3 linked regions of the Diceros bicornis minor genome follow. The protein of the gene in region 2 binds, or shares a complex with, the protein of the main gene of each other region. Links are inferred from orthologs where the notes say so. Each region holds a gene or a part of one and is shown on either strand. Other genes may lie near its edges. The genes, in order: LAMTOR2, FLCN and LAMTOR4.

What was found.
Region 1: FLCN (region 2) and LAMTOR2 share a complex: the UniProt entries of both Homo sapiens proteins name them as parts of the lysosomal folliculin complex. The link is inferred for Diceros bicornis minor from reciprocal best matches to the Homo sapiens genes FLCN and LAMTOR2.
Region 3: FLCN (region 2) and LAMTOR4 share a complex: the UniProt entries of both Homo sapiens proteins name them as parts of the lysosomal folliculin complex. The link is inferred for Diceros bicornis minor from reciprocal best matches to the Homo sapiens genes FLCN and LAMTOR4.

What each region holds. Positions count from the first base shown.
Region 1 is NC_080743.1:59,699,916-59,709,748, reverse strand, and holds the start of LAMTOR2 (ragulator complex protein LAMTOR2), read right to left. Parts: upstream 3,001-9,833; 5' UTR 2,870-3,000; coding exon 2,802-2,869; intron 2,502-2,801; coding exon 2,339-2,501; intron 191-2,338; coding exon 101-190; intron 1-100. Other genes in the region: UBQLN4 (ubiquilin-4), read left to right, coding at 4,016-4,123, 5,863-6,014, 6,411-6,628, 7,192-7,454, 9,351-9,509. UniProt on the Homo sapiens protein: As part of the Ragulator complex it is involved in amino acid sensing and activation of mTORC1, a signaling complex promoting cell growth in response to growth factors, energy levels, and amino acids.
Region 2 is NC_080757.1:736,708-747,069, reverse strand, and holds the start of FLCN (folliculin), read left to right. Parts: upstream 1-6,061; 5' UTR 6,062-6,165; exon of another isoform or gene 6,166-6,223; intron 6,224-7,224; exon of another isoform or gene 7,225-8,323; intron 8,324-8,476; 5' UTR 8,477-8,597; intron 8,598-10,362. UniProt on the Homo sapiens protein: Multi-functional protein, involved in both the cellular response to amino acid availability and in the regulation of glycolysis.
Region 3 is NC_080765.1:5,493,772-5,503,193, reverse strand, and holds LAMTOR4 (ragulator complex protein LAMTOR4), read left to right. Parts: upstream 1-5,366; 5' UTR 5,367-5,415; coding exon 5,416-5,442; intron 5,443-5,927; coding exon 5,928-6,008; intron 6,009-7,825; coding exon 7,826-7,943; intron 7,944-8,582; coding exon 8,583-8,680; 3' UTR 8,681-8,930; downstream 8,931-9,422. UniProt on the Homo sapiens protein: As part of the Ragulator complex it is involved in amino acid sensing and activation of mTORC1, a signaling complex promoting cell growth in response to growth factors, energy levels, and amino acids.

The sequences.
Region 1 (9,833 bases), on a different chromosome or scaffold from region 2:
GGTGACAGGTGGCCTGCAGGAAGGTGGTGGGGATGGGAACAGACAGTGATGGAGCACAAAGGCTGGGCCCAGGACTGCAGAGGGATGGGCATGTACACACCTTGGCCTTGAGCATTCCGAAGCCAACAGTCTCCTTGGCATACATACACAGCAGAAGGTTGGCCACTCGGGTAATGGCTACACGGCCCTCCTGGTGGGGACAATATCATGGGATGTGATGTTCGGCTTGGCACCTTAGCCCCCTCTTTCCCCAAGGGCTCCTCTTGAGAGAGACTCTATCTTCCTCCCATGCCCTGGGCACACGCAGGAGCTTCAGCAGTGGGGCTTTGGCCACAGCCCTGGACATGGGGTCCTGAACCCCAATTCCAGCCTCAGCACAGGCACCTACTAACCAAGTTACGCTGGGAAACTCAATCTCCCAGGGACTCCGTTTCTCTTTCTGTAACCCCAACCTCACCCCAGCTGGTGAGGGCGCCAGTACACATGAAGGAGTCTTGTATCTGCAAAGGGCTGTCCAAATGGGTGAGATTATTATTATGGGTTCACCCCAAAACAATGTAAGGGGCTTGAGAGCAGTAACCCAACTTATGCTTCTCCTCTTTTCCCATGGTAATGCTTTTCAAACTGCAGGTCTGACCCCAGGGTTAGGAGATCAATTAAGAAGGTGATCAGCATTAAAAGAAAAAAGAAGAGAAATGAAGTGCATTGCATGTTGTAAGCCGAGACCTTTTTCGCAAAACTTTTGTTTTAGTGGGTATATATGTGCACTGGGCTCTGACTTAAAATGTACTTCCTTTGGCCCAGTTGTGATCAAAGCGTTTGAAAGCTATTGCCCTAAAGCACCAGCTCTAAGCTAGGCACCCAGGAGGAGTCATCAGTTGAACTGAAATGACATCCTTGGTTGCACAGGGGGTAAGGATGAGGTAGGCAGCTGAGTTACAGTGGAATTCCTTTCTGGAGAGTTCATTCTTGGGGCCTTTTTATTTTTATTTATTTATTTATTATTTTTTTGTGTGAGGAAGATCAGCCCTGAGCTAACATCTGTCAATCCTCCTCTTTTTGCTGAGGAAGACTGGCCCTGGGCTAACATCTGTGCCTGTCTTCCTCCACTTTATATGGGACACCGCCACAGCATGGCTTAACAAGCAGTGCCTCGGTGCGCGCTCGGATCCGAACCCCAGCCGCCAGCAGCGGAGCACGCGCACTTAACCACTAAGCCACGGGGCCGGCCCCTGTTGAGGCCTTTTTAATTTGGTTCAGCAAATTTTCACTAGGTATCCAGCGAGTGCTGGGAACCAGGTGCTACACTCTCTGCCTGTCTGGACTCTGCTCCTACTAACCTCCCCATGCCACTCTGATGCCACTCCAGCCACATCAACCTTGTTGATCCTTGACCAGGCAGCATTCTGCCTCAAGGCCTTTGCATCTGCTGTTCTCTCTGTCAGAAACGTTCTTCCTCCAGACAGCCACATGGCTTGCCAACTTCCTTCAGATCTGTGATGAAATGTCACCTTTGCAATGAGATTGTCCCTGACACACATCCGCCTCTATCTCACTTCCTTGCTTTATTTTTCTCCACAGCATTTTCAATACCTAACATACTACTTTTTTAACTTATATACATATTTTACTTATTTTGTAAAACATATTTACACACTTATTTTACAAAACATACATATTTTACTTATTTTAAAGCATGTCTAAGACTAAGTTTCATTATAAATAGTTTTTGTCTGTCCTGTTTGCTACTTTTCTCCAAGTCCCGAGAACATTGCAGGGACCTAAAAATTTGTTGACTGAACAGATACAAAGGTGAGTGAGACAGTTTCTGTTTCCAAGAAGTTCACAGCCTAATGGCCACTTCCCCTTTCTGGACTTCATCTGCTTTCTCTGTAAACTGAAGGGACTGGACTAGTGTCTGGAGACTGTGCCATTCTTCCCTGAGTCTGTGAATCTGGGATGACAACACTTTGTGTCTGTACATCATCCTACGGTTTATATCCACTCTTTCATTTGATCTTCACAACAACCCTGTGTGTATTGTTTCCCCCTTAGAGGTGTGCTAAGGAAGCTCAGAGAGGTTAAGTGACTTACCCAAGGTTCCACAAATGTTAGTGGCTGGCTGAGACCAGAACCCCAGTCAGACCTCGGGTCCAGGGCTCCTCCCTCACCACCACTTGATGCATAGGGTCCTGCCTATTATAAATGCTGCTGCAGACCAACTCTTAGTAATCTTCCAGAGATCCTGTCCCTGCCCCTCCAACCATCCAGGATGGGGTCCGGGTCGCCCCCTGGGAATCCCCTTCGAGGACAGAGGAAGTAGCTCCTCTCTCCATACCATGCAGTCCATGAGAATGAATTTGAGATTGTCTTCATTAAACGCTTGGTTCCCGTTCCGGTCATAGGCGGCCCAGATGTTACTGGCGATGGCTGCGGTAACCCGGGCGTCCGTATCCCCGTAACCGGAGTAGGCCAGAAGAGATCCCTCGTTATTCAGCAGCCTGGCAAGGGACGGGGAGGGATAGTGACATGCTCAAGATCGGAGTAAAATGCCTGAATTTCCGTCCCAACTCCCGCCACCGGCGCTTCCAGAAAGCAAGGGTCTGTGCTGAGGGTGTCCTGGGATATGCCCCGAGCACCCACCACGTCGGTTTCTCTTTTCGAGAGGAGCCATCCCGGCCTGTTGCCCTGCTCCTTCTGCCACCTCCTCCCTTCCCGGAGATCCTACCCTACCCCTCCCTTGGAGAGCCGCGCGCCGCCCCACTCCAGTGCTCGCGCTGGGGTCCTCAGTCCGCACTCACAGGGTGCTCTGGACACCTCCAGTGTTGGCTTGGCTTAGCACCTGGGTTAAAGCCTTGGGACGCAGCATGCCTGCGGCTCCTAACCTTGGGCTTTTGCACCCAAGATCCCGGAGTTGCCTCTTGCTGGCCTCTGCCTGCCGCTTCCCGTAGTCCAGCGGCCCTGCTCCGGAGCGTCCCGGGAGTTGTAGTTTCCTGGCCTGGCTTGTGTGGGTCTGACTCAACACCGCCCCACCGCGGGGGTCACCGGGAATTGTAGTTGCTTGCGGCCTCGCGAGGCACTCTGGGAACTATGGCTCGCCTTTCCAGTGAGACCACGCGGTTATGGGGGAAAAGAGCGGGAGTAAAAGGACAGTGGCAGTACTGGAAGGACATTTAACGCCCTCGGGGAGAGAAGAGTCATCATGTCTGCTTGACAATCCACGATTCAGTAATTAAAAAAAAAAATCCCGCTTTTTCTCAGGCCCACCTTTGGTTACTTTTCAAAGCTGTTTTCTACGTTTTGCGCGGTTCTGTGGGATGAGGAGAAAGATGCTATTGAGGAAATCAAGGTTCAGAAAGGCCATGTATGCAAAACCCAGGTCTCTGAAACCGTACTTAATAGGCTTCATTCAGGCCACGACCCTTGGGAGAATAGAGTCAATCCTAGAGATGAGATCTTAGGTGGACGTCCAGAAGTGGGAAAATCCAACCTCCAAGTCGGGAGAGGCCTCAGATCTGGAAAGGACTTGGGCTTCCCGAGAAAGACCAGTTATCACAGGGAACGGAGATAAAGCGACGATACAGAAAGTCCTTTGTCCCGGAGCAGGAGTTACCCGCGGAGGGGGCGGGGGCCGCTTTGGACCGAAGGGGACCTCAGCGCGGCTCGGGCCGGCTAGGATGGGCGGTGGTCTCTCGCGGGGAGCTCGCCCCCGCCCCCACAATGAAGGACTCTCCCGCCCCCGCCCCGAGCCCCTCCAGGGGCCACCCCCCAGCGAGGCCCTGTCCAGGCTGCCGGACCCCGGGCTCGGCCTAGGGCGGACCCCGCTGCAGTGCCCCCCCCGGTCCGCCCGGGGCGCTGTGGTTGCGGCGGGTCCGGAGGGGGCGACGAAGCCTTGGGGAAGGGAGGGGAGGGGAGAGGGGAGGGTTGGAGGCGCCGGAGCCGGGCCGGCCGGGCGGGCGGGGAGGAGGAGGAGGAGCCGGGGCGGGCTGGCGGGCGGCCGGGTGGCGGCGGCGGCATGGCGGAGCCGAGCGGGGCCGAGACGAGGCCCCCCATTCGGGTCACCGTCAAGACCCCCAAAGACAAGGAGGAAATTGTGATCTGCGATCGAGCCTCGGTCAAGGAGGTAATAAGGGTGGCGGGGGGGTGAGGGGAGCGCGAAGGAGGGGTCTGCGAAGAGAGGGGGTGGCTTAGAGACGGTCGGGTGTACCGGAGGGCCAGGGAGAGGAGGGCGGGGGCCCAGCAGGCGCTCGGAGGAGCGGGAGGGAAGCAGAGGAGGGTTGAGGGCGTCCTGCGAGGGTAATCTGGGGGAGCGTGGCGCGTGTTGGGGAAGGGAGGCCGGGGTTTGCCTTGTGGCCTGGGCTGGGGGCGTGGTGGAGTGTGGGGAGGAGACACCTTGCACGGGGAAGGGGGAAGGACCCTGGGTTTGAGGGTAGTGTGCGTCCCGGTTACTGGTCGGGGTTCGAGGCACCGAGGCAGAGTTGGGGCCGGGCGAGGGGCGCCGGCGGAGAGCTCCGGGCGCCTACTGTGTGCCCCAGAGAACGCCCCTGCCTTCTCTGACGCCTGGGCGGCGGGGGGCGGATTCCCTCTGCCCAGATCCTTCCTACTCTTTCCAATCAAGGTGGTTACATTTGGTTCTAAGCCCCTCTGGGATTTACAGTGTGCAGTAGGTGCTCAATAAAAATATGTTGAATGAGTGAATGAGGGAATATTGCCTGTGTTCCACCCCCCTGTGGCTTCTCCAGAATTTCACATAGGCGGGGCTTGAGATAGGCCATCTGGTTGGAAGGGAGGGATCTGGAAGCTCCCTTTGCTCAGCAAGTGCACTGTTTTTACTTAGAGTGTATGTTTTGTTTTGTTTTAGGAGGGGCTGATAGATTTGGGGAGTCTAACTCTCCCCAAGCCAGTCTTTTGTGCCATCGCTGCCCCCACCTTTAGAAAATGACTACAGTCCAGAATTTAAATACTTTTCCCTGCAAAACTGAATTTGTAATCAGCTCTAATTGAGAGGCAGTGTGTTTCGTTAAGAGCCTAGGATTTGGCATCAAGACCTGAGTTTCATTCTCCCCGGGGCAAGTTACCTAACTCCTCTGATCCTCAGTTTTCTCATCTTTAAAATGGAGATAATAATTAATATGTATTTCATGGGACTTAGACTCTTAACTCGTGAATAGTTAGTGATCTATTTGTTGTAGTTGTTACAAGAACGCTGCAAATAAAAGGAGGAGAGAAATTTGGAGTCTGAGAAGAGAATGCTGAAGGGAGACAAGGTGTGGGTCCAAGGCTGTTGAAGGAACTGGGATGCAGAGAGCTGCCCAAGGCAGTACCCTCACAGGGGACTGGTGGAGGGACTGAGGAGAGAGTGGCAGATAGCAGCAAGAGCTTTCTAGGGTGAGAGGCCCTGGGGTAGAGCTGAGAGGGGAGCCTCTCACTGGTCCATCTCCATGGTTAACAAAGGAGCTGCTTATTGCAGCTGGAGGGATGGAGTTGGGACTGCAGAAGGGACTTCCCAGGACTAGCGTTGGGAGCAAGGGCATGCAGAGGCTTTTGTTTTGTTTTGTTTTATAATTTTATTTATTTATTTTTCCCCCAAAGCCCCAGTAGATAGTTGTATGTCATAGCTGCACATCCTTCTAGTTGCTGTATGTGGGACGTGGCCTCAGCATGGCCAGATAAGCGGTGGGTCGGTGCACGCCCGGGATCCGAACCCCAGCCGGGATCCGAACCCCAGCCGCCAGCAGCGGAGTGCGCACACTTAACCGCTAAGCCACCGGGCTGGCCCCAGAGGCTTTTGAAGAAGAGGCAGGGTGACTGGTGGGTGGAGCCCAGGCATCCTCCATAGTGATCTCTGCCTCTTGATCACAGTTCAAAGAGGAAATCTCCAGGAGGTTTAAGGCTCAGCAGGATCAGCTGGTCCTGATCTTCGCAGGCAAGATCCTCAAGGATGGGGACACACTGAACCAGCATGGGATCAAAGATGGGCTCACTGTCCATCTGGTCATCAAAACCCCTCAGAAGTAAGTTCAGGAGAGGAGCAGGTCCAACTTCTGATTGGGCTTCTTTTCCCCATCTGATACTTTCTCACCTGTCACTCAACTGTACCTAGAGGGCCTATGCCACTGGCCTATGAAGGTGGCTTTTGGATGGATTGCTGGACAGCCCTGTGGTCTCCCTCCAGGGGAAGGAACCTGACGTACCTCTCCCAGAATGCCCTGAAGACAGAAGATACTAACTTCTCCCTCCCTCCCTCTGTCTGATTCACTGACTGTGTCCCTGGCATCACCCCACCCCCGCCTCAGGGTTGCAGAGGAGGTGGCTTAGGTCAGGGCAGTAGCTGCCCAGCAAACTCTAGATTGTTGTCTTCTCTCTTCTTGTGATCACTTCACCTAGGACTTGTCTTTCTCTGTCCTCAGGGCTCAAGATCCAGCTGCTGCCACTGCTTCTTCCCCCTCCACTCCAGACCCTGCCTCAGCACCCTCCACCACGCCTGCTTCACCCGCCACCCCTGCCCAGCCCTCCACCTCTGGCAGTGCCACTTCAGATGCTGGCAGTGGAAGCCGGAGGAGCAGTGGGGGGGGTCCCTCCCCAGGGGCTGGGGAGGGACCTCCCAGTGCTACTGCATCCATACTCTGTAAGCCCTTAGGGAGGAGGGCACAGTCCTGTTTTGGGCTGGGGAGTGGGAGAGAGCCAAGAGGAGCCAAAAACATGGTCCTTGTTCCTGGTCTGGTGGGGATAGGAGACCCCTGGACATAGAATTCCAGATATTGGTATTTGAGCCAAGTAGGGGAGGAAACCAGTCTGTGAGTGCTTCACTGAGGAGAGGAGCATGGCTAAATGTTGAGAGTGAAGGGAGAAATGGGGCTGGGGATGTGGGGAACCTTGGGTGAGGATATTGGAGTTTGGGGAAAAAGTGGGTCCAACCGTAGCCAGTTGGGGAATATTTATTTACTCATTCAACAGGCCATCACTGGTGCCCTCTCTGTGCTCAATACTCTGCCCGGCTCTCAGTCTCTGCCATCAAAGAGCTCTCAGTCTAGTAGGCTAACATCTCTTTCCAGCAGTGGATCAGGCCTGGGGCTGTGGGAATGATGTGAGAAGCAGAGGGGGCCTGTCCCAGAGACCTGAATTCAGTGGCTCTGGCCAGGTGGGGGAAGGGCTCTTGCAGCAGACTGTGACGCTGCCCCCTCCCCACAGCTGGCTTTGGGGGCATCCTGGGCCTGGGCAGCCTGGGCCTGGGCTCTGCCAACTTCATGGAACTGCAGCAGCAGATGCAGAGGCAGCTCATGTCCAATCCCGAGATGCTGTCACAGATCATGGAGAACCCCCTGGTCCAGGACATGATGTCTAACCCCGACCTGATGCGTCACATGATCATGGCCAACCCCCAGATGCAGCAGCTGATGGAGCGGAACCCCGAGATCAGCCACATGCTCAACAACCCCGAGCTCATGAGGCAGGTGGGTCTGAGAGAAGGTTGGAGGGGTGGGTGGTGGAGGACACCTGGCACCCAGCCTTGCCCTGCCTAGCATTTTCCCACCTTGTCCTAACTTGAACTGTTCATTCAGTCATTCAGCAGCTGTGTTTTGCACACTGGGGGTACAGTGATGGAAAGACACAGGCCTAGCTTTCCAGGAACTTATGGTCTCAAAGGGAAGTGGGACAAGTAAGCAGGCAATTATAATACAGCAGGATTGGTGCTATCATAGAGATAGTCACAGCATCCCCTAGGAGCACAGAAAAGGGCCCCTGACTCGACCCTGGGGCTCAGAGGAGGCCTCCTAGAGGAAGTGTCACCCAAGCTGAGACCCAAAGAAGGAAGAATGAGCCAGAGGAAGAAAAAGAGAAGAGTGTTCAGGGCCGAGGGACAACAAGTACAAAGGCTTGGGAGTAAAAGACAGTAGGATGTTCGGGGAGCATTGTGGCTGGGCAGGGCTGGGTGGGTGAGGGAGACCCAGGGGACGCAGTTCTGTGTTGGTCTTTGGGAGCTCCGTCTCGGCCCAATCCACGGGGAGACAAGGATAGACAGTCTCAGTAGAGCTAATGCTGGATTTACTAGAAGATAAGTTCCGTAAGAACAAGGATTTGCAAGTGTTTTGTTTACTGTCTAGAACAGTGCCTGGTACATAGCTGTCACTCAGTAAATACTTATCAAGGGGCCGGCCCCATGGCATAGTGGCTAAGTGCGCCCGCTCCGCTGCCGGCAGCCCGGGTTCGAATCCTGGGCGCGCACCGACGCACCGCTTGTCAGGCCATGCTGTGGTGGCGTCCCACATAAAGGAAGGAAGATGGGCATGGATGTTAGCTCAGGGCCAGTCTACCTGAGCAAAAAAAAAAAAGAAAAAAGAGGAGGATTGGCATGGATGTTAGCTCAGGGCTGATCTTCCTCACAAAAGAAAAAAAAAACTTATTGAGTGAATGAATCGGGATAAGAGATCAGAGTCTTGTCTTAGACGTAAAGGTGTCTTAGAAGAGGGAAGTGTGGAGCAAATTTGGGAAGAAGGACAGGGGAAGCATTCCAGGTTGCATGAGGACAAGAAGTAGCTGTGCCCATTTTTTCTATCATGCACTGCTGTCTGTCCCCTGGAGTTGACACAGGCCACCCCTAATTGAGAGTGAGCCATTAGCTCCAAAAAGAAAGCCCCCATCCTCACTGTTTCTCAAGATTCAGTCAGGCCAAGACCTGGGGGGCGGTGTTGAGAGTGTCAGTAGCATTGTCCCAGCTTGAATCCTTTCCCTCCCCGACTGTGGTCATTTACCAGGCTCCACAGTATGGCCTTGATCAGACAGACCAACCTGGCCTTGAAACCTGGCTCCTCCACTAACTGGCTGTGTGTCCCCCAGGCTGTGAGTCTCTGAGCTTATTTTCTCATCTGCAGAGTAGTGACAGAAATACCTCCTGGGGATGGTTGTTATGGGGATTAAATGACTTGAATTCTGTAAATTGCTTAGTCCAGTGCCTGTGTGTAGTATATGTAGTTTGTAGATGTTAATTTTCTCTTCTGCCTCCTCCCCTTTTTTGTGTCTTTTCTTACTCAATTTCCTTGTGCTCCCTGACACTTCTGAGGACCCCCTGAACCTGAGGGAGCGAAGCTTCTGCCCTCACCCCATCTGGGATCATTGTTCTCCACTAGAAAAAGCCAACCAGAATACCCACAAGGACGCAGGGTTGGAGCCAAGATGAGGGACAGTAGAGAAAGGAAGCCCAGTTCAACCTACTCCCTGCCACTGTGGGGCAGTTCCTGGGCCCTGGGCCCTGGTCCTGATGCAGACCCCTTCCTCAGGGCCCACGCATTTCCAAGCTTGGTGCTCCCCTGGTTCCAGGGCCCATTCTGTCTCTCTCCCTTCTCCACTAGACAATGGAGCTTGCTCGGAATCCAGCCATGATGCAGGAGATGATGCGGAACCAGGACCGGGCCCTGAGCAACCTGGAGAGCATCCCCGGAGGGTATAATGCCCTCCGCCGCATGTACACAGACATCCAGGAGCCCATGTTCAGTGCTGCCCGGGAACAGGTGGGGCCAGGGATGGGGGCAGTGGGAGGGCTGTCTGGGCTCGGGATTCCCTTCCCCCAGACCCAGGCAAGCCTGGGGTGCTGTCCGCTCCTCTTTCCTTCCCCAGCCCCCTAAGGGAAGACCTTGGCTTGAGAGCAATTCTCACAGTGCATAGCCAGGGATGGTCCAACTTGGCATGGGACTGAGGCACTAGGGCAAAAGACGGCAGAGTTCCTCAGGGAAGTGGGCGAGGTGTAGTGTCCAAGGAATTTGACTGTTGTTCTGACAGATTTCTTGCACCAGGGGCTCAAAGGTTGTGAGGCAGATCTGGGGTCAAACAGCCGA
Region 2 (10,362 bases):
GGAAAATCTTCCTCAGCAAACAAAACTTTAAAAAATGTTTCTCTCTCACCAGCAATATTCAATTTTTTAAAGTGTGTCAACTTGTGTAGTCGATCACATTTTCATTATTTACATAAAGCAAACTGAAACCTCATGAGTCACAGTAAAAAGTTGCCCCTAATAGAGAGGCTTTGGGGGTCCTGTGGCCTATTGTGATAACTGCTCTGCTTCACTGTAGGAAAGCAGCCACAGGTGATCTGATACATCAGTGAGTGGCTGTGGCTGTGTTCCAAAAAAATTGATAAAAAAATAGGTAGAGCTTGGGATTTGGCCCCTCATTTAAACCGTCAAATTCTCCAGCTCAAATTAGTACTGCTGTGGGCTGCACATTTTCACTTAGGCTTACACATTCCTGTGTAAGAAAGAAAATATTTAATGGAAATGTTCCTTTTGTCAGTGTAGCGAATTATACTTTAAAAAAAAGAAAACAAATTGGACAACTTCTGATTTACCTGGATCTGAATTAAAATCACCTAAAATGTGTTTGAGAATCCTAGTAGCTGCCAGTCTTGGCTATTTAAAGAGTAACTTGGGGCCGGCCCGGTGGTGTAGTGGTTAAGTTCACGTGCTCCACTTCAGTGGCCCAGGTTCGTGGGTTCGGATCCCAGGCATGGACCTTCATCACTCATAAAGCCATGCTGTGGCGGCGTCCCACAAACAAAATAGAGGAGGATTGGCACAGATGTTAGCTCAGGGACAATCTTCCTCACCAAAAAAAAAAAAAAAAAAGAGTAACTCTCTTGTGGAATTCTAATGAAGTGGACACTTAGTTTTTTCCCAAAATGGATTCATTAAAACACATTATTTTGAAACTTTGACCTCAAAAAGGGGTATGGTATTTAGGGTCCCGCTTCACAGGTTCAGGTCCTGGGCGCGTACCTGTACCACTCATCAGCCATGCTGTGGTGGCAACCCACATACAAATAGAGGAAGACTGGCACAGGTGTTAGCTCAGGGCCAATCTTCCTCAAGCACAAAAAGAGGTCCTACTGTTTGCCGACCACGCATCCTCGTCCCTCTTGTGTCAGTGTAGGAAGGGGAGTGCTAGTTGTTGCTATCTCTCAGCTTTACACCCACCTTTATATATTCTTTCTGATTCTGGGGCTAGCAGTCTGCAATCCACATTTTTTTTTTGCCAGCAGGAGGCAGACTAGAAGGCTAGGGAGGAAAGAGACAGGCTCCTTCCTCTCTGTGTCCTGTTGAAGAGTCAGACCCCAGCAACAGCCCTCACCCTGGCAAGGACGGTTCAGCAGCAGCAGCGAGCCCCACGTGTTTCCCACGCTCCTAGAATCAGCCTCATCGCACCTCCTCAGAGATACTGGCCCCAGGCGGCAGGCCTCCCCTACCTCCCCACACAGGTTGGGGACCCAGTCTCTTCCCTTTGTTCCCCCAGCCCTAAGGGGGGTATCTGCTTCCTGCAGTTACTACAGTGGTGAAACTTTTTTCCCTTCTCCAATACCTGGTTACTGGATCTATTAAATTGTTTCTGTTCAAGAAACTGGCGAGTGGTTTGTCTCACTTGACAGGAGTTACTTTTGAAAATCTTACAGGGTCGAGGAGTTTCGTGACCTTGTTTGTCACTAAGAAGAGAATATAAGACTTTGCACATGCTGCCTCTGAAAATATGTTGCCTGGCTATGCCTGTGTCTTGTTTTTGAGTACTTATCAAAATCTGTTTGCTGAATAGTCTGCTTACTGAATCTGTTTGCTTGAATATAGACTTAGCTGTTTCTTTGAGTTAATTCTCAGCAGCAAATTATTTTGGGCAAATGTCTATTTATGAAAACCTATAGCATTTTGATGGTGCCAGAAGATGGTGATTTGCACCTAGGGAATTAGGGCAGTTGCTGAGGTCCAAGGATGTAGCCTTGGGTTGGTGTTCATTAGTGGACCTATCAGTTCTCTGAGGACTTTTCAAGTTTGTCTTTTCATGGTAATCTCAAATGTTAATAAATACTCCAGATTAACGAGGATAAGTGCCCTCAGAAGTCAGCACTGAATTACATATGTGTTTTTATTCATATTGGTACAAGTGAACTACCCAAAGGGACAATGTGTAACTTTTAATATAGGTTTTCTTAAATATGTATGCTTGATCTGAGAAATCTCCAGTTTGGGATATAGTGGTAAAAGGTATTCTTTAAAGAAACATCTGGTTGCATGTTTTTGAAATGGCAGTCGATGTTTTCTGAGCCAATGAATGGTACTAACTGGCAATAAAGCAGTGGCATTTTTCTGCCCTGTATGCCTGTATGGATGGCACCTTCTTGACCGTGTTTAGTAAATTGAAATCCCAAACAAAACTGGGTGATAGAACATTACTGTGAAAGATACCCACTAGCCTTAGCAATACAATCATGCCTGTGTAATCTAATCAGGGACAAATACTTTTACTTTTCTAGCAAACAATTTAGCAGAGGGGAAGTTAAGTCTTAGGTTTTCAGGTGTGCTGAACTGTTGGTGTTCACTGGTGGACCTACCTTGTTCAAGTTCCCTCCTCTTTCTATGCCAACGGTCAAGTTGCATATTAATTCTCTCCTGTTACTTGCTTTTCAAAGATGCAGTTTTAGGTTTAAGTCCTAAGTTTCTGGGTTGCAACTTGAAATGGTAGTGAACTTGTAGAAGAAAATGTTGTTTGCACATAAGTCTGAGTGGTTGCAAAGGGCCCAGAGAAAATAAATGACTGGGTAAATCAGATATTTATGAAGAGGAAAATGTGATGGCTACTTTTTTTAGGTAGCTGAATTATTTAATGATGGTAAACAAAGACAAAATCCTATCTGTCTCCTTTCCTGAAATCGAAAGTTGAGACCATGGTCCCGTGGCTTAGCGGTTAAGTGCGCGAGCTCCGCTGCACCGATGCACCGCTTCTCCGGCCATGCTGAGGCCGCGTCCCACATGCAGCAACTAGAAGGATGTGCAGCTATGACATACAACTATCTACTGGGGCTTTGGGGGAAGAAAAAATAAATAAAATTAAAAAAAAAAAAAAAGTTGAGACCAGAGAACTTTAATTGTAAAATGCATTTAATAAGCCTAGATCCATAATGAACTGTTAAAGTTTATTATGAGACTAAAAAGAAACCACTTGGTGTTTAACAAGCAGCTATTAGATTAAAACACAAAAAGCCAATCAGCTGAATTCTCACTGGGGGAGGGGGTTAATTTTTAAAAGCTTTCTGAAAGTGCTATGGTAAAAAATGCTAAATTAACACTAGTGGTTTTCTTTTTTTTTTAGAGAAAATATTGGACTACTAATAGTTCTTGCCTTGCAACTGGCTGGACACCTTATCTGCAGAGTTGATAGTCTAATAACCTAAAACCTTAAGTTGACTTAGAGGTTGTACGTGAGAAACTCTACCCATTGTTGGCTGCCTTTCAGCAGCTGGCCAGATTCCCAAATTGTTAAACACAGGGGATGTTGTCTTGGTTGTTAGAAGAAAGGAAAGCTTAGATTATTAATTATTTTTATAACAGGAAATCTATTATACTACCCTTAAAATAATCAGATGTGATTAAAAATATTAGCTCCAACTGCTTACAAATGAAACATACCCCTTCTTCCTGAAACTGAAAACTGATTCAGGGACATGGTGGTTTGACTCAAAGATAAAGCCCAACTGTCGTCTCTAGCTACATGACAGCCTACCTTGTTAAGGGTACACCTAAAAACCTCTGCGAGAAATTTCACAGCGAGACTTGATTTTACTTCACTTCACTCTGTCAGTCTGGACGCTCAGCTGTCAATACCTTTCAATTAAGCCTCTTAGTTTAGTGGTAGGCAGACAGACAAGCGTCAAGAAATCTTTATTTCTGATCGAGCCCATTTCCGTGGTGAAAAAACATGTTCTGGACTGTAAATGCCAGGCACTAGTATATCCAAGGCTTTTGGTAACATTTCATAAAGTTCCTATTACAGATAGAAGCTTTGAGTTTAGCACAGTATTTCATTTGGTTGAGCGTTGTTAGGTGTTGTTGCCAGTTTTGCTTTTTCACTGATAATGTGGGGTACATTTTCTGACTTCTAAGATGTCTCTTTTGTTGAATGTCCTTGAAAATTATACTCTGAGAGAGCCCAGTGTAATTAACCTTTGGTACAATTCACTGAGGCAAGGAACTGGCATGTAGTTGCTGCTTTTAAACAGATTTATAGGTTTATTTGAGAAAGTACCTCCAAAAGAGCTAGGTGGCTGAAGCCAGCGGTGCTGGGAAAGATATAAATGACATACATGGAGTCCAGCTGCAGTCGAATGCACACTGGATTGTACTGAAAATGGCAGAGGTTGAATAAACCTTCCTCCACTTGTGACCTTCATTAGCCTATCATTACAGAAATAAGGATAATCTGAGCAAGGTAGCAGCCTCCACTAACAAACAGAGGCAGTTAATTCCTGGAATTAAAGTTACAAGATGAAAAAAATATAGTTTTTTCTTATCTTAAAACCTGACTAACCAATGTTAGTTTCAACACCACCTACCACTAAGAGAAAATGGGAAAAAACAAGATTACCAAAAAAAAAAACGGAAAAGAAAAAAATATTCCTGTCTTCCTGATTGAAGCAATAGTATACACAAGTGGATTAAAAAAAAAAAAAAACTAATCTTCTTGTTAAATGAAAACAGTCATGGTAACTGAAAATTTCAGAAAGTTTTGTAAGTTCTTTTTTATTAGTGTGGAACTCAGTTAATCAGATTCGCGTTCAGAATTGCTGTGGTGGCCATTTTCAGGGTGAATCCTGTTCACCTGGACAACGTGGAAATGTTTTCTTTTAGGAATTGGAAAGGCACAGCCACACAAGGAGGCTGCAGACACTTTCTTGCACCTTTCCTTTAAGGCTTTCAGAGTATTTTGCAACCTCAGTACAATTCAAGTTTCTGAACTGTTGATGACAAAAGTAAAAATAGAATTCCAAATCAGTATACCCTTGTGGGTTTTTTATTGTTGTTTCTGCAGAAATTATCCCGTACTTACTGGCCACCACCCTGTCTGTGCTGTCCAGGGTCAGGAGGAATTGGATTGGTAAGAATAATTAAACACATGACGGCGACGCCTAACCTCCTAGCTGGCCCCCATACTCCTTGGTCTTGACCGCCGCAGTACAAGACGGCAGAAAACAAACTGCAGTTCGTCCTGTCCTCACGCCCCCTCTTCACAACACGGAACTTCAGAGAGAGAGAAGGAAGTGACCTAGGTGACTTAAAAAACAAAACCGCGCGCGTCCACTGGAGGATGGCCGAGCGTTCTGCCGGCGCTTCGCGACCAGCAGTGTGGACACGGCGCCCGGCGCTCCGCGGTGAGGAGCCCACGGCGGGGCCAGGGCCTGCGGATCGCGCCGACACGAGGTGGCAGCACCGCCTCACGGGTCAAGCCCAGCTTCCTGCGGTTCAGGGTCTCTGTCCTCTCTCCAGCTCCTCACTCTAAGGACCCACATTACGTCATGCACTGACGGCTTTAAGGTCAACTTTTAAGTAGACAGACTGAATAACAGGCGCCAGGGTTTTCAAAGCATTGTTACTTACTGACATATTTTAAAAACTTGGACATACCGCTCGCGTTGGTGAGCGGGCGGGGGTGGGGGAGGTCAGGCACCAGCGCACTCCCGCCCCGCCTCGGGCACAGGCCCCGCCTCCTGCCGGCACGTCCCACCGCGGACCGGGCCCATCGGCAATTTAATAAAAACCTACGATGAAACAAAAAGAAACTGTAGCGCTCTTTATAACGTCAAGACGTTCTCTCTCTTTTCCTCTTCGGTGTGGACCGGGAGTCCTGGCTGGCTATGTTTTTCCTCAAATCTCTTTAAAAAAATTTTTTTTTAATTTAAGCATCCCCCCTCTTGAAGTGGTTTCGTCCAGTGGCCCCAGCTGGGGCGGCCTGAACCATTCCGCAGCTCCCCCATTCCGCAGCTCCCGGTGGGGGCGCCGACGGGGCGGCGGGCGAGGGCGGCGCGGACGCCCTTCGGCTGCCAGCCCTGCCCCGGAGTCGCCCGCTCGCGCAGTCGCCTCTGGCGTGCGGCCGCGGGCGCGGCTCCGCTCGCCTCGCGGTCTGGGGCGCCCCCGCGGAGCGGCGATGGTACGGCCCGGCCGGGTCACGCGCCTCGTCCCGGCGGGCGCGGCGGCGGGACCCGGGTGAGCGCGGCGGCCGGGGGCTCGGGGGCGCGGGCGGTTCCGGGCCGCCGAGCCCGAGGTGAGGTGTGCGCCGCCCGAGTGCGGTCCGGGGCGGGGCGGGGCGGGGCGGGGCCGGGCCGGGGCCAGGCGGCGGGGTCGACCCGCGAGCCCGAGGCGGGGCTGTCGGGTACTCCGTGGAGGCGTGGGGGCCTGGGGAAAGGCCGGCGGGGCCGCGGGGGCCGCTGGATCCGAGTCCGGGGGCGGAGAGGTCGGGGCCTGAGGGGCGGGGCAGCCTGGCGGCCTTCCGGGTAGCCGAGGGGCGCGCCGCGGTTTGCCTCGGTGCGAGGCGGGCTGGTTAGCGCCGGGTGGCGAGGGCCAGAGCGGAGGGGCACCGAGGCCCTGAGGCGGGAGGGGTGGGCGTGGCGGAGCCGTTAACTCGAAGGTGGCCTGGCCAGCGTCGCCGGCCTCTCCTCCTCCCGTGAGGCCGTGAGGCGCGCTCGGCCTGCCTCCCGCCCGCTCTTTGCCTGCCCTCGGGTTTAGGGTCGTAATTCCTCTTCTCCCGGCCAGCGTTCTGAGGGGCACTCGAGGAGCCGCAGGCCCAGATCAGTGTCCTCCGGGGAGGAGAGACGTTTCTCCGGCTGCTGGGGACTGTCAGACGCATCCTTGTCACCTGGAAAGAGTTTAGCCCAGGGATTGGCTCGCTGCGGGTGGAGGTCCAGGGTGGTCATCAGCAGCCATCGGAGGCGGAGGGCAAGGAGGAGCTTGCGGAAAGGAGGTGCTGGTTCTCCAGCCCTTGGACAGCTGGCACCACCCATGGTGTCCATCCAGGGTGGCAGGGGTCTCTTTGCCACAGCAGAGAAAGTGCTGGAGGCACTAGGTTACAGCGCTGTCATCAAGGAATTGCGTAATAGCGGCACGTGACACTGCTCTTTGAATGTCCTCCGGTCAGTGAGCTCTGTAAGCAGAAGTCCAGGTGAGGTCGGTGGAAACAGTAGAGGCACCACGTGAGCGGTCTGAGCTGGAAGTAACCCCCTGCGGCGCTTTCCTCCTGCGCTTGCTGCCCCCCCCCCCCCCCCCCCCCCGCCGCCCACTGCAGGAGGCTCCCCTGCGGGTGGCTCGTTCAAGCAGCTGCCGGGGCTCTGATGTGCACCGCGGGTTAACAGCCATTACAGTACCGAGTTTATTGCCACGTGTTCCACTTAGCGGCATCTCGAATCATCCGTGGTCCTGTGAGAAGACCGTGGGCAGTGGGGATGACACAGATCCGGGCGCATCACAGGAGTGGGAGGATAATTTGGATGTCACTGTCCCGGTCGGGGGGCTCAGCCACTGTGGGAGGGAGATAATGTTCGTGGGCAAGGACCCAGCTCTTTGAGGTAGGTGAATGCTTGCTTGGAGTATAATGTTGAAGAGACAGTTGGGCAGGGGAAGATTTTTTCTTCTTTGGATTCTAGAACATTTGTTGGAAAGGAAGAACTGTTAGGCATACTCAAACCAGATTGTTTTTTTCAGCAAACATCTGGTAGAGATTGGAATTGGGGAGTGAATAAGGGACCAATCTCCTGCTACACAGAATTCTGATTCCATGTGTAGTGGTTATCTCTGAGAGGGAGGTTTGGCCTGTTTCTCAGCTTTAGGGTGGTGCTGAGAGAGATGAAGTAACATATTTGACATCACCTGGCTGGCAAGGGCTGGAGACGGGTGCTTTTCTGACCCAGTAGGTTTGTGTGATTGCACAGCTAAGTGTGATCTATCTCGTGTTGTCTCACTGCCTTCCAGTGGCTGCGGCTCTCATGATCCAAACAGTCAGAACTCTTGTCAGGCAGGAGTGCTTTTGTTGTAAAACCAAAGAAAAAATAAGAGTAGCCCAAGTTGGTCCTGGATGCTGGAAGTAGCTTAGCAGCATCACTCTGGTCCTCTCATTTGAGGAGGAAAACTTGTAGGCCCTCGGTCTGAGGGGTTACATTGGCGTGAAGTGGGTGCTGCCAGAGCGGCCCCTTTATAACCAAGAGTTGGAAGGGTGAGGACTTTATGTTTTTTAATATTGTATGTCTTACAGAGACACTTAACATGTAAATGTGTTTCAGGAGACCGTGTATGAAACGTTGCTGTAGAGGTGTAAAACTTCAGCTGAGGCTTGGGCTGCAGTGTCGACTTGCTGTCAGCTGCTGCTCAGAAGGTGGGAGGCCTGCTACGCGGTTCAGAACCGCGGGAATCCCCACATCCTCTGTGGTGATGTTCTGATTTAAGGTTGGCTGTAAGCTGCTTGAATTTTTTCACACCACGAGGCCCATGGCTGTTAGAATTAGCTCTGCTTTCTTTTCTCACCTAGAGAACGTCGGGTCTTAGAGCTGAAGTCTGACTGCGGTTGCCCTGCCTGACTCATTTGGAAATGGCCTTGTGTGCTCTGGCCTAGGCGGCGTGGTGGACGTGTGATTCTGCTAGGTGTGAAGGTTTGTATGGACGCTCTGCAGATGGGGTGAGCCTTGGCCAGGTGCTGCTTGCACGTGGCTGTCTTTCTAGAAGGAAACCTATTTCTCTTTCTCTTCCCTTTTATGCCTCTGGAAGGAAGCCATGGCCTCCGTTTCCAGGGTCAACACTTCTGCCTGGACTCTGGGCCCCGATTCCTCGTCTTCTGAGGTCCTTCTTCCGTCAGTGGTCGCATCACCCCGTCTTCCATAATGGATTTGTAAACCGTGTTCCTTGAGCACACCATAGTGAGCCTTGTGGACCCTTTATTTAAATTCAGTTTCTTTGATTCCGTGACACTAGGCTCTCTGACTCTTGCGTTCTCCATGGTTGTGCTTTTGAACCTCTCCTGCCCGTAGATACCCTCAATGAGCTCTCCACCTTCTGTGACAGCTGTCTTCTCTCTGTGAGCAGCTCCTTTATTCACTCATTATCCAACACTTATTAATTTGGTGCCTACTGTGTGTCGGGAACTGTTGTAGACTAGACAAAGTCTACCCCTCAGGGAACGTTCATTCCAGTACAGTAAAGCCAGGGAAGGGGAGAGAGTGTTGGGGGTGGAGGTGAGTGGCTCTTCTGGGTGGGCTGATTAGGGGGGCCTTTCTGAGCAGGGGACATGCAGGGAGAGGCTGAATGGTCAGGAGGAGTGAATCCAGTGAAGGTCTGGGAGGGGTTCCAGACCTTACCCCCAGCCCTGCCCTCTCTGATACTGCAGACCAGAATCTCCATGGAACTCGCAAGGCTTTCCAGCCAAATGTTCTCCTGTCTCTTAAACTCTGTCTCCTCTGCCGCTGCCCACGTCTCTCCAGGAACAGCCCAATACCTGGCTCTCCATACCTGCCAGCACCCCTCAGGTCCTCCCGTCTGATCCTCATGCCTGACTCACTGTCGGCCCAGCTGACTTTCTCTTCCAATGTCTGGTTTGTGTCGGCTTCTGCCATTCCCTCTGTAACCACTCCAGCTCCAGCTCCTGCCTCAGGGACGAGGACAGGTGCAGCGGCAGCCATGTCAGCTGAGAGGTTGATTGCAAAACTTCAGGTGGGTGGCAGAGTGAGTGGGCAGGCTAGAGAAGCGGGCTCTGAGCACAGCCGCCAGCAGGGAGGCTGCTCAGAGGGCACATTGAGGGACAGGCCATGAGCAGGTTGTTGAGGATGCTGTACCCGGGACACACTCCCCCAGGGGACTCCCTGCCCCCACTGTGCGTGTTCATACTGTCTGCACTTGGCCTCCCTCCTCTGGGTTCAGCGTCCCAGGCAGGCACCTCTGACTGGCCAGGCTGTGGTTATGCCCGTGCCTGCCTAGTAGGTGATGAGGACAGAGGATGTCTGACCTTCTTTGGCTCCGTAATGGGGGCCAGGGTCCCCGAAAGAGAAGAGGGTTTTGGATCCTGACCAAAGTCCACTATTCAAACATTCAGAAATTTAAATGGTTCCTCATTGTTTTGAGCAAGGCTGTCCAAGAGAACTACCTTTGATGATGGAAATGCTCCGTCATCTGTGCTGCCCTTTTAAAATGGTGGCCGTGAGCCACATGTGGCCTGTGAGCACCTGAGACATGGCTGGTGAGACTGAGGAACGGGGCTTTGCATTTCAATTAAGTTACATCTGAGTTGCCACATATGGCTCATGGCTACTGTATTGGACAACGTGGGTCTGCAGAATACACGTTCCCTCTTTAGCCTAGCTTCCAGACCCTCCTGTGTGACACGTGGCAGGTAAGCTGGGCTGTCACTGTCCCTCGTCTGTGCCT
Region 3 (9,422 bases), on a different chromosome or scaffold from region 2:
CATTGTTCTCTTTGGTTATCGTCTCAGCCCGGCACAGATGGCCAGTCCATTCCGGGCTACGACGCTCCAAGAGCCTTGAAATGTTACAACTTGGAACTCTCTCCATGGGAGAAAGGCCAGTTCCCGGGAAAAGGCCAGTTCCCACCACACAGAAAGCAGCTTTGTATTTCTTTTTGTGCTGGTGGCTGTAGGTCAATGGAGCGGCCAAACATGGCTGTACTCATGTCAAGACACTTATATCAATTTAATTCTCAGACCCAGCTGAAAACCCTAAGAGGGCAGAGATAAAATTTTGCCTCCCTTACACTGTGAAGGTATTTTTTAGATATGATGAATATTTAATTTTGAATAAAGCAGATTATCCTCCATAATGTGGGCAGGCCTCAGCCAATCTGTTGAAGGTCTTAAGAAAAAAGACTGAGGTTTCCCGGAGAAGAAGGAATTCTTCTCAAGGCTATAATAACATAGAAACCCTGCCTGAGTTCCAGCCTGCGGAATTCAGACACAAGAATGCAACATCAACTCTTCCCTGAATTTCCAGCCTGCTGGCCTACCCTACAGATTTTGGACTTGCCAGCCCCCACAATTGCATGAGCTAATTCCTTAAAATTTCTCCCGCTCTCTATCCCTCATTCTCTGGAGGACCCTGAATAATACAGTGGTTAACTTATGGCTAGTTTCTGTTGGTTTTGTGTCTTCACCACCCCCCTTAGCATCCTTCTTCTTTTCAATCCAGATTTTTTAAAAATTTTATTGTTTGCTTTGGAACTAGACCTCCTTGCCTCTCACACACAACTTCCTTCTTTCTTATTTTCCTAGAACAAATTATTACCCTATCAAAGAGCCATCAACAGACTTCCCAACTGCTTCTCTACCTTTCTTGGTTCTCTTAACCCTGACACATCCATTCAACCGGCACTTTTCGAAGACGATAGGGGTAATAGTCAGGCGCTTTGGAAATAAAATGTTGAAGACATCACACCCTGATTCCCAGGCTGCTCAGGTTGTAAGTGAGTTGGCGGGCAAACAAAGAGTTGCAGTGAAGTGTAGTAAGTGGTACACTAGAGATGTAGGTCCCTTAAGATCCTGGTGGGACAAGGTGTGTGTGTTGGGAGGGGTTGAGCTGGGGGTGAATAAAGGACTGTGTGGTTTCCAGTCAGGAGGCTCTGCGAGGCAGAGAGAGGGAGTGTTGAGGTCGTTTGGAAATGGCTTGGACAGGAGTGAGGAGGCCAACTCTGCCACTGGGATGGATCCAAACACATTATTTCACATCTCAGGATTTGTTCCCTCCTTTTCAAAAGAAGAAAGTACCGTGGAAGGGGAAAGAGCAGAGTTAGAGACCATGAGGCCAAAGAAAAAGTCTCTAAAAACCAGAAAGAAGTTCTGGGAGCAGCTGGGACAATATAGAAAAAAAGTACTCAACTTGTAGGTTAGCAACGTGCTAGGTGCTGAGGTCGACACCAGCATTTCAAAGGGGGACCAGGTGCTTATCTTCAGGGAACTCATAGTCTAAAATAAGCTCAACGAGCACTCTTGAGAATATTCTTACTCTGGGCATGTAGACACCCACACAGCTCACTCCCTCAGGTCTCTGTTCAGTTGTTGCTTCATCAGAGAGGTTGATCCTGCCCATTTGATATAAAATAGCACACCCACCACCACCCTGACCTTCTATATCCTCTCACTCGACTGTGTTTTTTAACTTTTTACTCAAGTATAATATATATACAGGAAAAGTTCTCATGTCATAAATGTACAGCTCACTAAATTTTCACAAACTGAACGCACACGCGACACCAGCATCCAGATCAGGAAACATTATTACCAGCCCCCAGAAGCACTCCTCTTGTCCACTCTCAACCCTTCCCTCATGGATAACCACTATCCCAATTTCTAACAGTGTACTGCTTTTTTACTCCACATAAATGGAATCACACAGAATGTACTCTTTTGTAATTGACTTCTTCACTCAACATCAAGTTTGCGTGATTCATTCATGCCATTGTGTGTACTTTTAGTTAATTCATTCTCATTGCTCTATAGTGTTCCTTTGTGTGAGTGTGACACAATTTATTTATCCATTCAACCATTGATGGGTATCTGGGTAGCTTCCAATTTTGAGTTATTAGGAATAAAGCTTTTATGAACATCGCAGTACATGTCTTTGAGTGAACATACGTACATATTTCTGTTGGGTATATGCCTTGGGGTGAAGTTGCTGGGTCATAAGACCTACTTTGTTTTTTTAATTATTAAATCTTTCATGTATTAAAATAAGTGTGTATGTATGTACACAGAGAGAGGGAGAGACAGAGAGACTTAGAACTTAATAAACAGAATATTACTGCCATAGTCCATTCAGGCTGCTATAACAATGTACTATCGACTGGGTGATTTATAAATACAAACATTTATTTCTCACAGTTCTGGAGGCTGGGAAGTCCAAGATGAAGGCACTGGCAGATTCGGTGTCTGGTGAAGGCCTACTTCCTGGTTCACAGATAGCCTTCTGTGCTGCGTCCTCACAAGGTGGAAGGTGAGGGGTCCCTGGGGTCTATTTTATAAGGGCATTAATTCCATTCATGAGAGCTCCACTCTCATGGCCTAAGCACTTCCCAAAGTCCCCACCTCCAAATACCATCAAATTAGGGATTAGGGTCAATATATGAATTTAGGGGCGGGGACAAATATTCAGTGTACCTATAGCAATTATCAATACTTTAAAACCCTTTGTGTCTCTCTATCCCATCCCCCTCTCTATCTCAGAAGTAACCATTATTCAAAATTTTATTTATCATTCTCTTAATCTTTATTATTTTGAGACACAGTCATGTACCACATAACAACGATCTGGTCAACGACAGACCAGATCTACGACAGTGGTCCCATAAGATTAGTACCATATAGCCTAGGTGAGTAGTAGGCTATACCACATAGGTTTGTGTAAGTGCGCTCTATGATGTTCGCACAACAAGGAAATCACCTAACAATTAATTTCTCAGAAACTATTCCCACTCTTAAGCAATGCATGACTATATATGGATAGATACAGATATAGATACATAGATAAAGCACTAAGTAATACTTTATTAATATACAATATATAACAATAATATATTAAATAACATTATATTAATATATTATACAATATATAATTATTATATAAATTATTTTGTTTTTCATGTTTTTGAACTTGATGTAAATGGAACTCTGCTTTATTTTTCTTCATAGCACTTCTCACCACTTAACATTTATTTTCTTATTTATTTATTATCTGGCTCACCCTCTCCCTCACAGCTCCTTGAAAACAATTAAAAAATACGTCTTGTTTTTATTCAGTGCTGTACCTCCAATTCCAGGAAGAGTGTCTGGTACCTAAAAGGTGCTCAATAAACACTAGTTGAACAAAAGAATGAGCAACTTCGCTCTCCACAGCAGTAGTGTGATGCAAGCTGTTTGTCAAAATGAAGCAATTCTAACGATGGCTGATGAGCATTGTCCTGCTAAGGGCTCCTCTGTGTCAAGAAAAATGAGAACAGGGAATTTCTGAGGTAAAATTAACTGTAACTTAAAAAAAATAATAAACGTAGTTGGCCGATGGAGCAATGGAAAAAGCAGCAGCCTCAGCATGAGCAGACTTAGACTGGATTCTGGCTCTGCTGCTTGCCAGCTGTGTGCTTGTGAGCGAGGCTCAAATTTTTTTGTTGCCACTTCTCCATGTGCAAAATGGGGATACTATTATAGAGTGGTTAATGAGAGAGTTAGGTGAGTGTATGAATGAAAATGCTCTGAACAGTAAGCGCAAAGAAAATGATACTACAAAGTGCCATCAATATCTAAGGCCTGGGGAAGCTTTGCTAATTATGCATCTCCACAGAACTTTCTCTCTCTAAATCCTCCTCCAATTTAAAGTTTATATTATAAGCATACCTCATTTAAAAAAAGGTATCCATCTTTTCTAATTAGCTTTCTCCTCAACCAACAGTACTTATTTTTTTGCGATATAATACACATACTGTAAAATTCAACATTTCAAAGTGTACAATTCTGTGGTTTTTATTACATACACAGCATTGTGCAACCATCATCACTATATAATTCCAGAACATTTTCATCACCCCCAAAAGAAACCCCATATCTATTAGCAGTCACTCTCCATTTCCCCCTCCCCCAGCCCCTAGCAACCACTAATCTGCTTTTTGTCTCTATTGATTTGCCTAGTCTAGCATTTCACATAAATGGAGTCACATAACATGTGGCCTTGTGTGTCTGATTTTTTTCATTTGGCATAATATTTTCAAGGTTTATCCATGTTGTAGCATGTCAGAACTTCATTCCTTTTTATGGCTGGATAATATGCCATTATATGGATATGCCACATTTTACTTATCTATTCTTCAGTTTATGGATATGTGGGTTGTTTCCATTTCAGGGCTATTATCAATAATGCTGCTATAAACATTTGTGCACAAGTTTTTGTGTTATCATATGTTTTCAATTCTCTTAGGTATATGTTTAGGGGTGGAATTGGTAGGTCATAGATAAACCCTATATTTAACTTTTGGAGGAATCGCTGATCTGTTTTCCACAGCAGCTGCACCATTTTACATCCCCAGCAGCCACGTACGAGGGCTCCAATTTCTCCACGTCCTTGCCAACAAGTACTAATTGTTTTATTTCTAGAATCATCCTTCATTTTACCTCACCAATACTGCCTCAGTCACATCAGTATTGCAGCAGGTCTATAAACTAAATTAAAACAAAAAATTTCTATGTTACACTCAGATATTAAATAATGACTCCAAGTTACTGTTTCTAATTTTTCCCGGCAGACGGTATTCAGTATTGCAGCTGCCTCGGCTAGCGGGGGACTCAATTCACCATCACCCCGTCCCTCACAGAATCCCTGGACGAAAAACCACTTCTGAACAAATCCCCCTCTTAGCTGCCTGGAACAGGCAAAAGAGTAGTATTTCAACAGCTTTTCACACACATTTCACGTCACTTCTCTCTATTCTTGCAGTCCTACTCGTGGGCAATCCCGCAGGGGTAGAACCCGTACCCACCACCCCCTGCGCGCGCTGGGGCACACCCTCAGCCCACGCCCCTCTCTCCGACCCCGCCCCTCCAGGCCGTCCCCTCCGCCGACACCTCGCCCTCTGGGCCTGAAGGGCGGGGAGATGAGTCTTAAAGAGAGTCTGCGACCAATCCGCGCGCATCTCCAGGAAGCGGCGCTCTGCACTGGCAGATTAAGTCTGATGACGTAGCCACAATCCAATCCGCATTCTGGGGGCGGGGCTAAAGTCTGGGGGCGCAAGGCTGGAGGAGGAGAACGGCGGGTGGAAGCACGTGACCTGGGTCTGGAGCCGGAAGCTACCGATCTGGTAGGGAGCGGCCCCGGTACCAAAGGCTGCGATGGTGAGTGAGGACGCATGCGCGGGAGTACGTACCGGGGGTTTTGCGTCGCTGTTCCCCAGTCTCTTTGTTTGCCCCCTTCTAGGTCCCCACTCTGCCCTCACCTCGTCACTGCCCAGGACAGACAGGGAAGGGAGATGAGAGGGGTGGCGACGTAGAGGGCTGAGGAGAGATCTGTGGGAGGGTGTACGGGGGCCTGGCGAGTAGTCTGCGGGGGAGGGGCGGGCCATAAGGGGAATTGGAGAGGGGGCTGTGAGGAGGGACCAGTGGGGTAGCAACGGTGGGATGTGGAAGGCCGCGGGGTTGCGGGTTTGCGGGGGGCGGGTCCAGGGGCAGAGTGAGGACAGAAGGAGGCTCAGGAAGATCAGTGTTGAAGGCCATGTAGAGGGAAGAGGGTCTGGAAGGGCCTTGGGTGGGGAAAGAAGCCTGGGGGGCCATTGTCAAGAGACACTTGGGTTTGCCAAGGACCATCCTCCCAGCATGCTTCTCACTGATTCATCTTTACCCACTAGACTTCTGCACTGACCCAGGGGCTGGAGCGAATCCCAGACCAGGTCGGCTATCTGGTGCTGAGTGAAGGCGCAGTGCTGGCGGTGCGTTCTGGGAAAGGGAGGCGGGGTCCCCCAGGTACACATGGCCCGGTGATCTCTTCCAGCGTTGCCCCGTTTGACCTAATTTGTCTCTCGATCTTTTCCTGGTATCGTGCCTTGCCATATAGTAAGCTTTCAGGAATTAAATCTCTGGAATCTTAGTCTCATAACTGTTCTGAGGTAAAAGAGGTTTACTAACTTTACCAAAGTCAGCCCACTAGTTACAGGTTTGTTGATAGCTGCTGTTACCCGAGTTATTCTCGAGTATGTCTTTATGTGGTATTTGTTGAAGAGGCTTTGTATTTTGTTCCATAGTACAATATAGTGATAGCTCTCTAGAAGTTTTCAATCTGGCTAGAGAGACAAGGCTAAAGCTTAAAAGTTGAAAGCAATGCAGGTGGTTAAGGCTACTGATGGAGTCCAGAAAATGAAGGATTCAACCCTTCATGTTATAACTTGTGTTTGGGCAAGGAAACTTTCTTGGAAGAGGTAAGAATTCAGCTGGGCTTAAAGGATGGATGGTTGTGAACAGGCAGAAAAGAAGGCGAGTATTCAAGGCTGGGAGGTGGACACATTTGTGGGAGTGTGGTACCAGCCTGTCTAAATTGGCGCTGGGTATATGTTGAAAAGATTTGCGGGGAAGAAGAGGCTGTGGTAAGGGAGGATCTGATTGTGGAGGACTGTCAAGGCTGGGTTAACACATTTGGATTAATCTTGAGGGTAATAGGAGCTTTGAAGGGTTTTTGAACAGAAACATGAGCTGATGAAGTGATTGAGTGAGACTGTTCTATCAGGTCTGAAGATGGGCCAGGAGGGGCAGGATTCGGAAGCAGGGATGCTGCTACTGAAATTTAGGGATGAAACAGAGCTGGTGGCAATGAGAAGGAGCAAGGAGAGATTTTAAAGGAATCAATATATCTCGGTAATGACTAAAGATGGGTAACAGACAAGATACTTCTCCATCCAGTAATACTTGGAATTCAAGCCTAGAATGATGGTGCCTTAACCAATTGGAAATTAAGAAAGGAAGTTGATTGCAGAGGGGGAGAGGTAAGGGGAATTTTGATGGCTTAACTTGAGACACTGAGTTTGATATAGAATAATAAGATATATTGCTAGGAGCTGTTCTAAGCATCTTGCCAATATTATCTTACATAACCCTCACAATGAGCCCATAAGGTAGGTACTGTTGTCCCCAATTTACAAATGAAGAAACTGAGGTACAGAATGTCCAGGAGAACAAAGGGCACTGAACTTAACCTAGTGGGTAGTGGGAGGCACATATTGAGGAGGAAGTTGAGACAGTCACCAGAAGAGAGGAAGCCCAGGCCACTGTCACATCACTACCCAAGGGTTAGGTAGTAGGGAGGCGTTCAAGGACAAAGGGGCTGTTTATGTTTCAGATTCTGCAGACAGAGCAACAAGTGGAAGACTGAGGAAAAGAGGGGGCCTTGAACAAGTCAGTGGTGGGTAGGCACTGATGTTTGAGAATGTGGCTTTATCAAATAAGTGGGGACAGGGAGACATATCAAGTTTCAAGGGACTAGGAAAGAATGGTCAGTAAGGAAATGGATGAAGAGTCACTGCTTCTCGGGGGAAGCCCAGTATTATAAGGATGAGAAACAGGGTGGCAACAAGGTGGGCAACAACATCATAGGAAAGTTTTAGGTTTGTTTTTCCAAAACTGAGGGTGACCTGGGGGTATTAGAAAGTAGATAGGGAGAGATTACAGGTGCTAGAGCCAAAGTGACTGTTCCCGGAATTCTTTCCCAATTCTGTCCCCTAATTTCTGCCATCCTCCTTCCTCTGTCTGCCTGCAGTCATCTGGGGATCTAGAGAATGACGAGCAGGCAGCCAGTGCCATCTCTGAGCTGGTCAGCACGGCCTGCGGTTTCCGGCTGCACCACGGCATGAATGTACCCTTCAAGCGCCTGTCTGGTGAGTCCCAGCCCCTGCCCCTGGTGGTGGTGGTGTGGGGGCGGGGGGGGGGGGAGGGGGCGTGCTCCCAGGGGCTTCTCTTCTCAGGGAAGCAACACCTGTCTCCTACCAACCTCCCACCATCTCCCCCTGGGGTCGCTGTTTTTGGCTACTTACTTCCCCTTGGGATTCACTCCTGCATCAGAATTATGAGAAAGCAAGAGAAGGAAGGGGATTTCATGGAGACCTCCCATCCTCAAATCTCTGAGCCTGGAACTGTTGAATCTCTTGGACTTTTTTTTGTGTGTGTGAGGAAGATCGGCTCTGAGCTATCATCTGCCAATCCTCCTTTTTTTTTGCTGAGGAAGACTGGCCCTGGGCTAACATCCATACCCATCTTCCTCTACTTTATATGAGATGCCGCCATGGCATGGCTTGACAAGCGGTGCGTCAGTGCACGCCCAGGATCCGAACAAGCGAACCCTGGGCTGCCGCAGGGGAGTACGTACACTTAACCACTTGTGCCACCAGGCCGGCCCCGAATCTCTTGGACTTTGATCCCCACCAGTTTGTGTGTGACCCCATAGAGACCACCACACCCCCCTAACTCTGTGCTCCCTTCCCTCTCCCCGGGCGGGGGAAGGTGTGTCTCCCCTCCAGTGGTCTTTGGAGAACACACGCTGCTGGTGACCATATCAGGACAGAGGGTGTTTGTGGTGAAGAGGCAGAACCGAGGCCGGGAGCCCATTGACGTCTGAGCCTGCCAGAGGGTGAGGGGCAGAGGTGGACTGGGTCCCTGAGCCTCTGTGATGAGGAAGACGCAGACCTCCTCCACCTCTTTCTTGGCTGCCTGCTAGAACTAAGGCTTTCTGTCACCCACTTCCTCAGCCCTACCTGGAAGGGCAGAGGCTTGGGACTCTATGTTGCACTATGTTAAAGAGAATGAGGGCAAGGGGACCTTCCTCTTCCCTCCCTTCCTCCTAATAAACGTGAGTCTGATGTTCCTGGGCCCAGGGATATGTGTATGAGGGGTGGGTGTTACGCCCCAAGTCTGTCTGCCACCTGGAGAGACAGTTGTGTACCTCAGCCCAGAGGGGTAGGGCAAGGCCACCTCTGGGCATATAAAACTAGGAATCAAAAAAAAAAAGGGTGGGAAGGAGCTGAGGGGAGTTATGTGGTGTGCATGCTGAAGGGATCATTCTGAGCCCCTGGGTCTCTCCTGCCACCAACACACAAACAACAGTCCTTCTCCCTCCTGAACAGGCGTTTAATAGTCTTATTTCAGTTGGAAGCAGTCATTGAAGAATAACTTACAGGAATAGACAGACAAAAAAACCCCCAAAACCCCACACAACTTAAAGTGCTTCAGGCTGCAAACGTAAACATGAAGGGCAGGAGGAGGCCACCTAGCTATCTCCCCTGACCCTTGAGCAGGAGGGTCATTGTCATTGTCAGGGTCCCTTTACCATCACCACCCTCTAATCTCGGCCCTGCAGGTGG